Cricetulus griseus: one gene and its partners. The protein of the gene in region 1 purifies or fractionates together with the protein of each later gene. This does not show direct contact. Links are inferred from orthologs where the notes say so. Each region holds a gene or a part of one and is shown in the gene's direction. Other genes may lie near its edges. The genes, in order: Wdr62, Mapk8 and Cep170.

Region 1 (4,322 bases):
TGTGTGTCTAGTGCTGGCCAGGCATAGTGTATCGACTCCTATCCTAGGACCTCCTCCATCAGTCCAAAGACCCGAGCCCACCTGAGGGTGAATGGGCAGCAAGCAGGCACCTTTGTGGTCTGTGACGGCCCTGGATAGGGAAGTGAAGGCAAGAGCAGATGGTTTGAGCCGCACTTCACACTTGAGGCACGTGAGATGCGGGCAGGCCTGAGGCTCCATTGGTCTTCCTAGAGCTCTTTCATGGATCAGTGGCAGACATGAAGATCTCAGAGGCTGACCACCATCTCTTCAATCCCCGGCTGAGCATCTCCACCCAGTTTCTCTCACGACTCCAGAAGGCCTCCAGGTAGAAGCCAGTGACCCCCAATTTCCCTTTCCTCAGCCACGCCCCTCCGTGACCCTCGGGTCAGGCTATGTGAACTTCTCTTTTCCACCTGGCTTCTTCCCCAGCTTCCCTCCCCGGCTGCCCCTTCACCTTAGGAAGTCTCCAGAGGTCAAGCCTACAGGACAAGGATGCGGCCAGTCCAGAGCAGGGTCCCTGAGAGCAGGTACTGGCTACATGTCCTCAGATGGGACCAATGTGAGTATTGAGGTCACGCCTAGGACCCAGGGCTGCAAGCCAGGAGGCCTTGTCTTTACCACAGAGCTGGGCTTGGAGGTCCTCTCTGGGCAGAAGGCTGAGGAGCCTCCAGAGGCCTTGTATCTACCAAGTAAATGTCTCCAATCCGAGATGAACAGCCCTGGGTGTCCAGCTGAGCCATGGAATTGTCCGTTCAGATGGTGAAGCATTCCTAGGGCAGGGCTCTGAGACTCGTGTACAAGTGAGCCATCTGCTTCCTTTGCAGCTCCTTCCCTCACAGGCCTGGCCTTCTGTGTCTCTTCCTCCTCGGTGCCACCCACAGACAGGAAGCCTCCAACACCCACATCTGTACCTATCACAGGCCTGGATCAGAGTGTCTGTGCCCCGTCTACATGTTCTTACCTGGAGACGACGACTAGCTCACATGCCAAGATATCACGTAGCATGTCTCTTGGGGACAGTGAGGGCCTTGTGACACCTGAGCCATCCAGGTCACTTCACAAACCCTTATCCATGGGAGAACTGGCTTCCCTGGGCCAGGAACCCCAGGCCATCCCCACCATAGTGACTCTCACTTCTAGCATCGAAGGCCAGGATCCTGCCATGCCTTCCTGGGGCAATCATGAGGCCCGAGCCAGCCTCAAACTGCCCTTATCCAGTGTCTGTGGCCAGCTCCTGTCTTCACCCCCACTGGAGCCACCCATCACATGTGTGTGGTCTCAGGACTCTGTGGATGTCCAGCCTGGTGTGACAGCCACAGTAGCCAGCTTCCCAGCACCCAGCCCTGTAGATGCTAGCACCCCAAGACTCCACAGCTCTGTGTTTCTCCCAAGGACCTCAGCCTCTGGGCCCCTCATCCCTCCTGGCCATCCCAACAGCCTCCAACTTCTAGAGACCAGGTCTAGGGTGCCTAGTAGTACCGCTGCTCTCCTGGAGCCCACCCCTGGTGAGTACTACCATGGGACACGGATAGAGAGAGCCCTAGCCTGTCCCCTGTGCCGCTCGACTCCTCTGCCAAGTAGGACGCTCACCCTAGCCACAAGAGGGACTGTGTTATTCATTCACTCATTCATTCATTCACTCATTCATCCATTCGTTCATTCATTCACATAGTTAATGAGCACATGCTGGGCTTTGTTCTAGGTCCTGGGCACATGAGACATGGTGACAAACAAGAGGACAAACGAGAGAGTTGATTCCTACGCTAGGGGAGATACCCAGACCAAAGTGTCAGACGTATCACAAGGTGATACAAGTTACTGAGAGAAATAAGGCAGGGGGAAAGGGGCGGGGAGAGCAGTGTAGCTTCAATTTTAGGATGGCAACAACATGATTTAAGGAGAAGTTTCTATCCAGCAGAACCCTGTGAGGAAGAGAGGCCTTGGGGACTGAAGAAAGTGGTCCAGGGCCAACAGTCATTAGCCCAGCCACCTGGCCTCTCTCAAGCCATCCAGAAAGTCAAACTATCTTGGTCATTCACTCTTCTCTACCCCCAGATATGCCGGGCAGCCCTGGACACTGTGGGGAGCCTGGGCTCCCAGCTGAGGTCCTGCCCCCAGCACTCCTTGAGCTGGGCAGTATAAGATCAGTCTCGCACAGGCTGCAGGCTGTCTTCCAAGAAGCCCTTGACCTTTACCGAATGGTAAGCTAAGGAGCCCAGGGCAGTGCGGGAGAATGGGCAGGGCTCCCTGGCAGTACTGCATGTCCCCTGACAAGCTTGCCATCCCTTACAGTTGGTCTCCAGCAACCAGCTGGGTGCCGAACAGCAGCAGGCACAGACGGAGCTGGCCTCCGCCTTTCAGTGGATCCACAGCCAGCTGGAAGCCAGCAACTGGATGGCTGCAGCTAACACGGCTCCACCCCAGACACTGCCTAGCCCCGGCCTGCCTTCCTCACCTACACTGTGTCTCCTGGCCAGCCCAAACCTGCAGGCCCTGCTGGAACACTACTCAGAGCTGCTGGTGCAGGCTGTGAAGAGGAAAGCAAGGGGCGACTAAAAGCCGGCAGCCCCTCCACCAAAGCCTCGCTGCTCAGCAGAGATTGATTTTAAAGCAAATAAACTGACTAAATTAAATAGTTTTCTGGAACCTGTCCTGTCTGTAAAGCCCTCCTCAGTGGATGCAGAGAGAGGGGGGGTAAAGGGTCCGCATGGATGAACCAGCCTGGAGACTCGGCTTTGCTTCAGCTCTAGGCCCTGTTCTGTGCACCTGCCAGCAGGGAACATGGGACTAACAGGAATGATGAATGCCAGGCCTGGCATCCCATGTAGCCTGTCCCTAGCATACTGAGCTATTGCAGGGGTCATGTGTGCTCTCTGCCCATTGGAGCCCATCCTTAGGAGGAGCTAGGATTCTATGCTTGTTTGCTTGCTTTTTGTTTTTGTTTTTGTTTTTTTCAAGACAGGGTTTCTCTGTCCTGGAACTCACTCTGTAGACCACGCTGGCCTTGAACTCACAGACATCCCCCTGCCTCTGCCTCCCCAGTGCTGGGATCAAAGTCGTGTGCCACCACCACCCAGTAGGAGCTAGCCTTCCTGACCCTACAGGTGCTTTCAAACCCAGTGGAGCCGCTGGGGTCATCACGGGTCTGACCCTGTCCTCAGTACATACACTCCTGGCTGATGGCCCTAGGCTAAATTCACACTGGATCCGGCGGGGTCTGGGTTGTCATTGTCACATCTGCAGCAGGGGCAGTAGGAGACAAATACCATTGAAGAATCTGCAGCAGCCCCAAGCCACCTAGTTGCTGGGCCCTGTGATGCCTTCATCTGAAAGAACTGTATCCAGCTTCATCCCATGAGCCAACTGCAGACATAGAACCTTCCTAAGAAGGCCACTCCAGACCTCACTCATCCTGTCCCAAGTCCCTGTAAAAAGGAACCCAGCAGAGGGGTCTCCTAAAGGCCAGGGCCATCACCCAGCTCCAACCCATCCACTCTTATAAAGGAAGGCCCCTTGTGGATAGTCACAGTAGCTCTGATTAAGAGGAGAACAGCCAGGCAGTAGTAGCATGGGTCTTTAGTCCCAGCACTCGGGAGGCAGAAGCAGGTGGGTCTCTGTGAGTTCATTGCCAGCCTGGTCTACAGAGCGAGTTCCAGGACAGCCAGGGCTACACACAGAGAAACCCTGTCTCAAAGAAACAGTCTTGTTGGGCTGGAGAGATGGCTCAGAGGTTAAGAGCACTGGCTGCTCTTCCAGAGGTCCTGAGTTCAATTCCCAGCGACCACATGGTGGCTCACAACCCTCTGTAGTGAGATCTGGTGCCCTCTTCTGGCCTGCAGGGATACGTGCAGGCAGAACACTGTACACATTATAAATAAATCTTGGGGGGAAAAAAAAACCAGCCTTGCTGGACCTGAAGGGTAGTGCTGTACAGACAGCAGCTTGACTCTGTCTCCTAGCAACAACGGAGCCAGCTGTGGACATAGGGCCCCTGAGCAGATAGCTCTCCCCCGTTAGTGTGGCAGCCCAGCCTTTGCCACCACTATGGGCCCACACTTGGCTCCCCCGATATCAGGGCAGTTCCTAGGCAGTGAGACATCAACCTACACAAGGGACACCAATCATTATGAAGTCCTGTCGGTGTGACATGGAGCCACTTCAGCCCCATTTCTCAGCCAAGTCAGCTGAAACTCAGAGCCTGCCCAGACCCAACTGCCAAATTACACACCTGTAATTCTGTTAGTCGGCACTTGGGAGGGGGAGACTGGAGAATCAGGAGTTCAAGGCCAGCTTCAGCTACA
Region 2 (6,248 bases), on another chromosome or scaffold:
CTTGGTGTAACAATATTTCCTCAAACTTTTATCATTTCCTCCTGAAGGAACATTCAAAATGCCCTCTGCTAGCTCTTTTGAAATACATAGTTCATTGTCTGTCTTGATTATCCCTCTGTACTAGAGAACAATTTGCCTTCTAACCTCTGATTTCCTGAAGGATCAGTGGCTTTTCATTAGCATCAGAGGGCCTCCGGGCTCATCTCTGAGTCAGGGAGGTGAGACAAATCCTGTCTTATTATAGGCCCCTGGCAATGAAACAGCAGGCACAAGCATTAGTCTTGTTAGGGCCTCAAAATCCCGCCACTCACAAAGACACTTTAACAGGGTGATGTTAGAATCTCCTTTTACTTAATGGCACCAGAAAGAGCAGTTTCAAATTCAACTTCTAATTGAAGTACTTTTGACAAAGGTTGGCTGGCTGGGCTTTGGTGGTGCCCTCCTTTAATACCAGCACTCGGGAGGCAAAGGCAGGAGGAACTCTGTGAGTTCGAGGCCAGCCTGGTCTACAGAGTGAGTTACAGGACAGGCTACAAAGCAATACAGAGAAACCCTGTCTGGAAAAAACAAAACAAAACAAAAAATACAGAAAGTTGACAAAGGTTGGAAATTCACAGGGGTCCCTCTGTCAAGGGTTATTGGCAGAATAAACGCTTGCCCATCTGGTATGAATATCAGTTTGACATCTTAAGGATAAGGAGAAGGGTACCAGGGGACCAGATGGGGGAAGGGACAACAGAGGGTCTTCCCTAAAGTCACCCAAAGGAAAAAGTCAAGGAAAGAACGCTGTCTTCTCTGCCATGGGGGACACACAAATGTCTTGCAGCACCTTTTGAACTATAAATGGCATACATACTCTGGAAGAAAAGAAAGTTTTTACTAAGAATTGTAGGTGGGGAAGAGTTCTATCTTGAAAAATCTAGAAAAGCCTCTTTGCAATAAGAAATCTTTCTTGATATCAGAATGATCATACCATCCATTGCTGAAGACACACCAGGGCCTTCCAATTACACTTGGAATAAAACATTTTCAACAAAAATTTTTCTCAGTCTTCTCATTTTCATTTTGTAACTTCTTTTTCTTTGCTATTCCAAAATAGCTGGTCTGTCCTCAATTCCCTCAGGTTACTCTGCTCTCTCATCATAGGACCTTCATACAACAAGTTAACTCTGACAAAAATTTCTGCCTGGTCAAACCTATTCTCAACTCAGCAGGCACTTCCTTGGAGAAAACATTCCTGGTCTTATGGATATATTGGTTCCTTTCATAGTCTGATGTATCCTTTTAATTTGTATTATACGTTGATACTTTTACGTTTTGTATAATTACTTTCATAACAGAAATTCTCTGTTATGAAAGATCTAATTGCTGCTAGTGCTAGAACACTGCCTTTAAGAGAATGGGCAAGTGATAAAATAGTCACTGGAGAAATAAAGGAAGTATGGAAATAAAGAATTGGTGAGGCGGGTGGAGTGATGAGTCAGTTGTTAAGAGCACTGGGTGCTCTTCTTGAGGACCCAGGTTCAATTCCCAGCACCCTCATGGCAGTTCACCACTATCTGCAACTCCAGCTCCAGTAGTCCTGACACCTTCACATGACAAACATGCAGGCAAAAAACACCAGTGAACATAAAATAAAAATAAATAAATAAATAAATAAATAAATAAAAGAATTGTTGAGAGAGACGAAATGGGGAGAGGATGGATGGATGAATGCTCACATTTGCCTTATGACCACATCACTGCAAACAGAGCATCTCAACGTGTAATTGGAACATAATAATCCAGCTGACTTTATTTGATAAATATTTATATATTTTTGGAAATCATAGGATACCACACAGGAGAGACTGCCCTTTATTCACCACTGTCAAAACACCTATCATGTTCCTTTCCATGTTTTTTTGTATATACTGTGCATGTAATGTATTTTTTATATATGTGTAATCATTCTATGTGTACGTGTTTCTTGCTCCCTTCTCTTATAAGTTACTTTCTCTGGTTGGTAAAAATGCCTTTGAACAAACACATTGTCTTTAAAGGGATAAATATACTCTACTGAATGAATAATAGTAATTTAAATGCCTTTCCATCCATTGTCGGGTGGTTAGGCTGGCCAGTTAATCAGTCCATAGCTAATATTTGCAGGAGACACGAGGCTTTGGAGGTATATCAGGTAATGCAAAGAATCTGGAGCATTTATTTTTTGGGGGGGTAACTTTTTCCAGGGAGCTGGAGAACATTTTCTTATTGGTGGGTGGTAGGCCTTGGAAGAGTGGCTGTCCAAGTAGGATTCTCCGTGGCTCACGTGTGTGCACTGACATGCGTGCCTGACCTTCAAACACTAACGCCCCTCCACAAGCTGGCAGCCCAGCAGGCTTAGGCTATGACTGGTGTTTCGCCGCCACGCGCCGCCACGTGCCGTCGCAGCCCCGCCCCCTGCTGCTCCCGGCCACGCCCCTCACACGCGGCTTTCCCAGTTGCGGCCCGCGGCGACCTCCGCGAGTGCCGCCTGCTCTCCAATGTAGCCACGCCCCCGGTCACTGGGCCACGCCTTCACAATCCGGGCCCCCGGGGCCGCTCCGCCCCCAGGCCGCTCGCAGGCGCGGGGGCGGGGCCCTGCGCGATGACGTGGGCGGGCGTGCGCGTTGACGACCCGCGTCTCTGTTAGTCAGCGGAGCGGCCGAGGCCGGACGTCGCGGCCGGAACGCGGAGCCGCGAGCAGGGCTGAGTAGCGGCCGCGGCCACCGCGGGACGGCGCCGCTCACCGCTACGGGCTTCCCGGTCGCCATTGGCTGCGCTGCCGGGTGAGTGCGCGGGCTCCGCGGCCCGGGCGGCCGCCGCCTTCCCCCGGCCGTGACCCCCTCCGGGAACGCGCGCGGGGCGGGGGCGGCGCGGGAACAATAGCGCGGGCGGCGGGGCAGCGGGGGGCGTGGTCCACTCGGCGCGACCTGGCTTCTCCACTCTGGCCGGTTTCCACGTTGCGCGGGGAGAATGGAGCCGGTGGGCGGCAAGTTCGGAGGTGCTCTCGCGGAGATCGGGCCGACGCGACCGTACATAGGTCTCCCGCACCCACGGGGAGCGTGTTTTGACTGTGGGCGGTTTCTTTGTGCGGACGTGAGTGCCGCGACGCCGTGAAGGGCCGGGTGGCCGCGAGCGCGCCGGCCTGCGGGCCGCGCCTTCAGAGGGGCTCCTGGCGCTGACCTTTTGACTTTCCCCCACCGCTGTCTCTTTGTCTTGTGCCTGGATTCCCAGTCCAGACACGGTAGATCCAAGTCCATTTTAAAGTACCGTAAGGAACACCTTGCATTTTCATTCCCGAAAGTTCCCTATACCACCGGCAATTTAATAACATGTTGACTGCACGGTGTCCAGTAGTTGCTATTTCTACTTCTGAAATCAAGTGGTCTTTTCAGTAGAATTCTGGTCTGTCAGCCTATTGTGTTTTGAGATGAGCATCCGCCAAGTACCTTTTGGTCAGTTAGAACATCTGTTTATTTCATTCATTCATTCAGCAGCTGTTAGTACTGTATCCAGATGGAGAGGATGTGAAGGCCAAGAGAAAGACCCTTACGAATAGGGTACTTTGGAATAGAATAGATGTGCCTTTAAATAAGACTGTTATATAAGTGATATATGTTAAGTAAGGTATTTGCCTCGTTTTATTAGAACTTCTGAAGGTAATGTGATAGGTAATGTGAAGAAGAGCTAGATTTGCTTAAATATACCACCATTATTCTTAAATCTTACCACCACTCCCCTAATTTCTTGTCGTTGTTAATGGTTACCTCAGGCTGTTAGACCTGGGAGGTCAGGTTCTCTGAGTGAACATGTTTACTGCTGTGTATGATGAAAGCAAGCACTCAAAATGGTACTTCGATGCCTATCTTGCATCATTTCTCCAGCACCTAGCATGGAAGTCATACACGTTGAGTTGATTAAAAAAAAAAGTTTATAGAGGAAAATTGGAAGCTTTAAATCCCACCCCCACCCCCGAAGTTTGAGAAGTGTCAAGCATCACTCTCAGTTGGCTGCATCGTAAATTAGTAGAGGATACTACCTGTTAAGATAAAAGAGGGTTTGGGATCACTGTTTTTGTTTTTATGCTTTACTTCCAGGGCATTCACTATTTTAAGACCACCCCTGAATTTTTTGCATATAATTAATAAAGTAGAAAATTGTGTTGTGTGTGTGTGTGGTGGGGGGTCTGTTAAGTATGTGTGTAAAAGTTGAGCATCCATAACTTGAAAGTCGGAGATACTCCAAAATCTGAAACACTTACAGTCCTTTGCAGATAAGGGGCATTCACTTGGTACTTTGTCATCAAAGTTGGGTACTTTGTTCACTTCCAATATTTTAGATAAGGGCTTTTTCCAGCCAGATGTGTGAATGAACCCAGACCTAACAGTGGTGTTTCATTAGGAATCTAACATGATTTCATTTTTCTCCCCTAAAAAAAAAAAATTACTATCTAGGGTGCATGGTGTGTTTTTTGGGGCAGGGGGTACACATACTTCTGTGTGCATGTGGAAGCCAGAGGACAACTTTGTGGGGTTGATTTTCTTTTACCTTTAAGTGGGTTCTAGACATCAAACCCAGATTCCCAGACTTTTAGGGAATGTATCTTTTCCCACTATTATTTCACAAGTTTTTATGATTTCTTTGAGTAGAAAAGCACAACACCCACATGTGTTTTACAGATATTTTATTTCTAATAGTCTAGAGCTGGTTAATGTTTTAGAGTTGCTTACTGGAAAGGTCAGGTTTTAGCTTGTACTTATCTATCTCACAGAGCATATGGGTTTAAAATGCAAAATACTATGAATTTATCCAAGTTTTGGCACGTTTCCACTATTTAAAAAATATTTCTTTTCGATATGAAAAGTCATTCAGATGAACTTATTTACTGTAGAATAAGAATGGAAAAATAAGGAAATTATTCTATTACTCTGAGTGATAGACCTTGGGGCACCAAACTTTTATTGCTTTACCTAGCTAAGTGTATGAGGTTCCAGAAGGGACTCTGGAATTAAGAAATCATTTGAGTGGCTCACACACAGACAGACTCTGCATAAATTCAGTTAGGTTGTCTTCTAAATTCTGTTGTTTAAACAGCTTTCTTGAGATTTAATTCACATAAAGAGTGGCTCTCATAGAGTATTTTTTAGTGGTGTTTAGTCTACTTGCATAATTATGCATTGATCACTACTATACCATTCTGGAGCATCATTGTACCACAAAGAAAACCCCCTTAAAAAAAAAAAAAAAGCAGTCTGGTGTTTGAAAGGAAGAGAGTATGGGTTCTGTTAATAAATAAGTCCCTTTAATGAAAAGGGTACCCTTTAACTGTCGTGGCATATTAGGAAACTGTATATTTCATGCTCCTTTTAATCCTTAGAGAAATTACTTGGAAAGGAAATTTAGTATAAGAGTTAATTGAGCCATATGTGGTGATACATGCCTGTAATCCCAGGACTTGAGAGGCCAAGACAAGATGAGTTTGAGGCCAGTCTGGGCTACAAAAGCTAAAGAATAAATTGTTACCAAAATGAATACAATTAGAATCTTATTTGTTCTATGAATGATATTATGGAAATGGTCTGGAGAAGATACTAGATGGCCAGTGAAACAGTAATTTGTTGTTAATAGCTAGCCATAAACCATCCTAGTGGTAATTGAGGGGTTGCTAAATAGGAGCCAGCTTCTTGTTGCCGTGCTTTGCCTGTCAGGTGACAGATTTGAGTCATCTCCATATTTGAGATGCTTTGCTGCAGGTGTAGAAGTATAATATTAGTCTGATTAAGGTTCCTGTCCTCTAGAAGACTGATAGAGTCAGTAGTATGGACCTTTCTGATTCATGTAGGGCAAGGGAGTCACAACCCTGGAGCTTTACACATGAATCACTTGCCTGTTTGAACTGTGATGCTTGTCTCAGACCCAGTCACTACCTGAACATCCAGGAGCTGTACATTCTTACCCTGATGTGGCTCTCCTGAGCTTTAGGTTTAGAAAAGAGTCGGGATTCAGAATTTACTAAAATGTGACAGGAGTACCGAAGTGAGTCACCCTGTCATAAATTCCTGGAATAAAACAGTCCAGGAATCATACTCATGTTCCTTGTTACTTTGTCATTAGCAAGTATGAGCCTGCTGCAAGTTGTTCATTGGAGTCTTTTTTTTTTTTTTTTTTTTTTTTGGTTTTTCGAGACAGGGTTTCTCTGTGGCTTTGGAGGCTGTCCTGGAACTAGC
Region 3 (5,571 bases), on another chromosome or scaffold:
TAATAATGAAAGCCTTCATTATATCTGGCACTTGTTCTCATGTGTATAGAATCATTGTTTTATAATATAATATGACCTTATTGCAGTCCATGGTGGGAAGGGGTGGTATGGTTGCCATATAAACCCTTATTATAGCATTCATTTTCTTTGTACTTACAAAGTGAACCTCATTATTATCAAAGTTGATAAAAATCTGATAATCAGTTCCTTCAGGATTTGCTTTTGGTATTAACTCATGAGACATTTTTACACCTTTATGACTAGGAATCTATAATTTGGTCCTGTCATATTGTTGTTTGTGAAAATAAAAATATTTGTGCTCTAATTATTTGAAGGCTAGTATTGCCTGAGATTATAAATACTTATTAGATTTTTTAAGTTGTTAATATTTTTAAGTGGCAAATTACATATTTTAAATATTTTTTAATATTAAAGGGAGTATTATAGACGCATGCTGCATTCCAGGTACTCAGTGAGCTGCCAGAAGAATCTCAGATTTAAAAAAAAAATCTCAGATTTGAGGATAGCCTAGAGATCTTGTCTGTAAGAAAAATTTCTTTTAAATCTTAGGATGTGGTTCAGCGGTAGAAAACTTGTCTAGCATATGCAAAGTCCTGGATTTAATCCCCAGTACCTGTAGAAATCGATGATAAATAAACATAATAATCCTATATTTACTCTTGAAATAGAACAATCTCCAAATTATATTTGATGACCATATTCAAGCACAGTAACCAAAATTTTGGAGTTATATTCTTCCTTAGCTCTGTTTACATACAAATCTCTTCACTGTAGTTCGAGGAGAAATGAGGGTCCCTGAAGAGGCTCTTAAGGTAAGAGTTTACCCTTGTGGTTGACTATTACTCACTACAGTTGACTCCTTTATCGAAGCTTCCCTTTGATTTTAAATGTTTTATAGCATGAGAAGTTTACCATTCAGCTTCAGTTGTCTCAGAAGTCTTCAGAATCAGAATTACCAAAATCAGCAAGTGCTAAAGGCACAGACTCAAAAGTGGATGCTACTACAGAAGTGCCACACAGAGCCACAGAAGCACTGAAATCTGAGGAGAAATCCATGGGTAAGTGCTTTGTATGCTATGGAGAATGACCTACAATAGCTATATCTATCTTTGTATTCAGAGGGAGGGGAGGAAGAGAGGAAGCACAAAAGGAAAATATCAAGTTGGGTACTCACAGTTGGTTAACTGTGGAAGCACCTTTAAAGCAGTTGGAGTTCCCAGTACAAAGTCCCAGGCAGAATAGACTGTCACTTGATGTGAGGCTTCCAAGTAACCACAGCAACTAACCTACAGAAAGGTAGTATCATCTAATAGGTTGCTCACAACATCCAGTAGTAACTAACTGAGGAAACTGAGGCAGTTAGCTGCAGTTCTCAAATGTAGCTTCCCAGAGCTATGTTTCCAGCTCCTCTCTTCCTCTGTAGACACTTTCATATTATAGGATAAACAACAATAACCTCTGATGGAAATAGTTTACATTTTAGCTGTTTTCAAGGACACCATGTTTTACTTTGGGGCTCTTTTGTTTTTGTCTCCCTCCCTGTCAGAGTTAGGTGGACTAGCTCATCCCCAGACCTTGGAGGACACTTTGAGACAAACTGCTTGGGATCTAAAGTGGGGGATGTGTCTACCTCACTTCCAGAACTAGCTTCTCAATGACCTCAAACAGCACCTGATAGTTTGTCAATAATTATATACATTACAATAACAACACGATTGTTGTCACTATGATATACATTACAATAAGCTAATTCCTTTGGAAATTCTGAATTTATGTTTGGGGTTGAAGAAATTGCATTCTTTGTTCTCAAACATGTGTCTATACCTGCATAAAAATAATTATACTAGTGATCCATCCCAGAGCACATTTCAATATAGCCTGTTTTTCCTAGAAAACATTGACAGAACTATATGTATGTGCAACCAATATCTTAATTATTAAGGAAAGTGATTTCAATATTTGAAGGATATTTAATAGTTTAGCATTTCATATTATCTATGTTTCTCTGAATTACAATTGAAATAAAATGGAAAAATTTAATTACCACCCTCATATCATATAATGCTTACAGTTTTAATAACTACAAAGATGTTTTATATAGATAATCCCTTCATGTAACAAATGTATTAAATTGATAAACAGTATCACAGCTACTAGAACTGAAGATCTGTTAGCACTGAGTACAAATATAGTTACTGTTCAATACTCTTATGTTGTTGTACATGCCAGTATTTGCTTTAGTTTTATCTTTTATGTATTTAGATTTAGTGACATTTCTGGTCAGACTGGTTTCATTATTCTTTTGGTAATTCTAACAAAATTCTTCCACCTAAGATACTTCTGTCTAAGTACTCAAAGATCATTTGTTCCCGGGGCTCAGGTATATATCAGAAGTCCCTAACATGTAATAAAAAGCTGTTGATTATAGCATGTTGCATTACTCAATCATTGCTGATCTTAATTCACTTAATGGTGTCTAGAGCTGCGTAAGGTCATGCTCAAATGTTACGTTACTAAAAGTAAAGTACTTTTAATCAACTAAGTAAATCTAGCACTATGCAAAATATGTTTTCTTGCTTCATCTGCTTTAGAGAGATTTTCCTCCCTTCTCTTTTAGATGTTTCTGCTATGCCCCGTGGTACTCCATTATATGGGCAGCCATCATGGTGGGGAGATGATGAGGTAGATGAACAAAGAGCTTTCAAATCTAATGGCAAGCCTGAAGAAAAAAATCATGAAACTGGGACTTCAGGTAAAAATACTTCAATAGCTATGATATCAAATTCATACTGGGCAAGTATTTATATTCCAAACAAAAGTCAGTCTACTCTGAAAAATGATCTATAACATAACTTGATTTTTTTAAAGGTGATTGTGGCTTTGCTCTTGTAATATATTATGAGTTTAACATAAAATACTAAATATGGTATCCTTATAAAAATCTCATCATATTTTTCCAGCTTATGAAATTGTTAAACAGATTAATGCCACACACTGGACATTTAAGCATTTTAAAATATGCAAATGAATTGATAAAGTAGTAGGGACATGTGAGTTACATGTCTTTACTTGATTCATAATCATATACTACAAAATAAAAAATCTGTTGTATTAAAAAATACAATATGAAATTATAAGTTCTTTAAAGCCCCAGCATGCTTACTTTATTAAGATAGCAATATGATGCAGAGTTCGGCAGCCAAAGTGTAGAAATAGATTCTTATATTATTAACTAAGGAACTTGGGTGGTTAAGTGGTGACCAGTGTCCAGAAAAGTCAAGATTTCCAAGATAAATGGAGATACCAATTGTCGCATAAAGTTGTTGAAAAGACATCAGAACTGAAGGATGGAACAACCAATTTCTTTGTTAACAGCAGATAAGGATCCAAAACTGGAGGAATAAAGTACAGACACCAAAGATCAGTTTTGAAGACATAGTGTGCCACTGAGGCAAGGACAAACCCCATTAGAACTCTTTCAAGGTGTTTTTGACTTCATTTATACAAAGTAAGCAGGACAGTTTTCTTAGCTGGAGAGTTATGAACATTGTGTCTTTTGACACAGTCTAATTACACCAGAGTACAAGTCTTTAAAAAGCTGTCATGATCAAGTAGTACTTAGGATGCCAAATTTGAAAATAGCTTTCCATCACAAATTTGTTTCTTCACCAGTGCTGTTCTTTATATCATTTAATATTATTTAACATGCCTTCTGTTGTAAATGAAAGAATTGCTGTCTGATACTGAGTAGGAAAGGAATGTCTTGGCTCCCATACCTGATTTCTCTCAGGGTTGTTCAGTGCAATAGATAGCATTGTTATCTAGTTTCACCATCTCTGATTTGGTATCCACAGTACATACATACTGATAGAGTTACCCCTCACATTCAAAGCTGCTGCCATCAGTATTCAAAGTTATACAGTTTTGATCACACCCAGAAGTAAAGAACAAAAGTTGTATAAGAAGACCTCCCAGTATTTGGAAGAAGACCTCTCCCAAAATCTTCAGCAGATCTCTCATTAGCTTCTCACAGATTAAAGAAGGTCACCTGCTATTCTAACCAGTCTCTGGCAAACAATGTGAGACTATCATTATCTTGCTCATCTTGAAGCATGATATGGAGTTATTTGTCCCTAAGGCATATAAGCAGTGTCATAGAAGAGTGGTACCAGAAAGTATTGAAGTTCTTTTAGGAAAAAGTTCTTTAGGAAGGAAACTGGACGTCAATCAAGAATGTCTACTTTTTATGGTCTTCATTTTATCTAATATAAAACCTATTTTGTTGTCTTTGTTTTCACTGATGAATCATAATTCAACTTATTGCTGTAAACTTTCCATAGCAAATGTGAACTGATCTTTATTTTAGTTCCACAACAACTAGAGTGATTTTGTCTTGCTTGACAAAATTTTGAACTTTTTGTTCCCTAGTGCACCTGATATCTGTTACTGTTTTAGTGTTCTCTCCCAATGTACCCCCACATAAATTGTGCTAATTCCTGCCTCCTCTTCTCCCACAGTATGTGCATTGTAAATTACTAAATGATACTATACTGCTAGTGAACAATACTGCTTTGGTTAATTGTCTTTGTCTAAAACTTCATCACTGAACTCTAAATTCCTTACTTCAAGTACCATATATTCTAACCTCATTTTGCACTAGAGAGAACTATCTGGTTAGGGGGAGTATAACCAATTAGATGCATTAAAGAACACAGATTAATTTAATTGTTGCAAAATTCAGAAAATAATTGCATGATAGTGGAAATTAAGGAGCCATAAAAATGTAGCATTTGTTCCCTCACACAGTTTTGAAATTCTGACATACATAACTTGTAAAATAAAATGACACATACATATGACTATGATAAAGAGTAGAACCATGACAAATAATGGCAAGCATTCAGTTGCACTTAGTTTGTCTGCTTCTTCCAAATGATTTATATACATTTCATCATGACAATGTCTAAAGGTAGTAGTTACCTTTGTTATTTTTGCCCATTTTATAGATAAAAGAATTGAGACACAGAGTGATACTAACTTACTTACTGAAGAGAGCACTATTCATGAGATTCCAAAAATAGACACATCAAATTCCCATACAGCAGGTGTAGTACATGCTTCATTTACCATTGAATTTGATAACAGTACACCACTGAAAGTAACTCTTTGACAGAATTCACTTCTGACCATCGCCACAAGCCAATGAAGGCTTCTACAGATTAAGACCCTGTCTCACATATAAATAAACAAAGCCAAACTGGGCTACTAAAGACCTATCTCAAAATAAATAAACAAATATATCAGATACATGTATGTGTATACACACACACACACACACACACACACACACACACACATATATATATATATATATATATGTATCTGTTAATATTGTCCAGTTTAGGCATACAAATTCAGTTCTAGCTTAGTTACTAAATTGCTCTTTAAATTAATTATAAAATATTAGTATAAACAATACTATCCCATGTAGTTTAATTTGGTTTAAATAAAAATGGCTGTGAATAGAAATAGAAAATTCATAAACTTCAG

The links.
Region 2: the proteins of Wdr62 (region 1) and Mapk8 purify together in Homo sapiens (affinity purification with mass spectrometry; 5 studies listed by BioGRID and IntAct, counting the BioPlex papers as one, with this or other methods). This does not show direct contact. The link is inferred for Cricetulus griseus from reciprocal best matches to the Homo sapiens genes WDR62 and MAPK8.
Region 3: the proteins of Wdr62 (region 1) and Cep170 purify together in Homo sapiens (affinity purification with mass spectrometry; 3 studies listed by BioGRID and IntAct, with this or other methods). This does not show direct contact. The link is inferred for Cricetulus griseus from reciprocal best matches to the Homo sapiens genes WDR62 and CEP170.

Annotation. Positions count from the first base shown.
Region 1 is NC_048602.1:5,584,302-5,588,623, forward strand, and holds the end of Wdr62 (WD repeat-containing protein 62), read left to right. Parts: intron 1-231; coding exon 232-346; intron 347-450; coding exon 451-548; coding exon of another isoform or gene 549-580; intron 581-845; coding exon 846-1,526; intron 1,527-2,076; coding exon 2,077-2,222; intron 2,223-2,313; coding exon 2,314-2,577; 3' UTR 2,578-2,659; downstream 2,660-4,322. UniProt on the Homo sapiens protein: Required for cerebral cortical development. Plays a role in neuronal proliferation and migration.
Region 2 is NW_023276807.1:185,962,933-185,969,180, forward strand, and holds the start of Mapk8 (mitogen-activated protein kinase 8), read left to right. Parts: upstream 1-2,656; 5' UTR 2,657-2,807; intron 2,808-6,248. UniProt on the Homo sapiens protein: Serine/threonine-protein kinase involved in various processes such as cell proliferation, differentiation, migration, transformation and programmed cell death.
Region 3 is NC_048598.1:17,007,222-17,012,792, forward strand, and holds part of Cep170 (centrosomal protein of 170 kDa), read left to right. Parts: intron 1-774; coding exon 775-833; intron 834-919; coding exon 920-1,079; intron 1,080-2,638; coding exon 2,639-2,773; intron 2,774-5,571.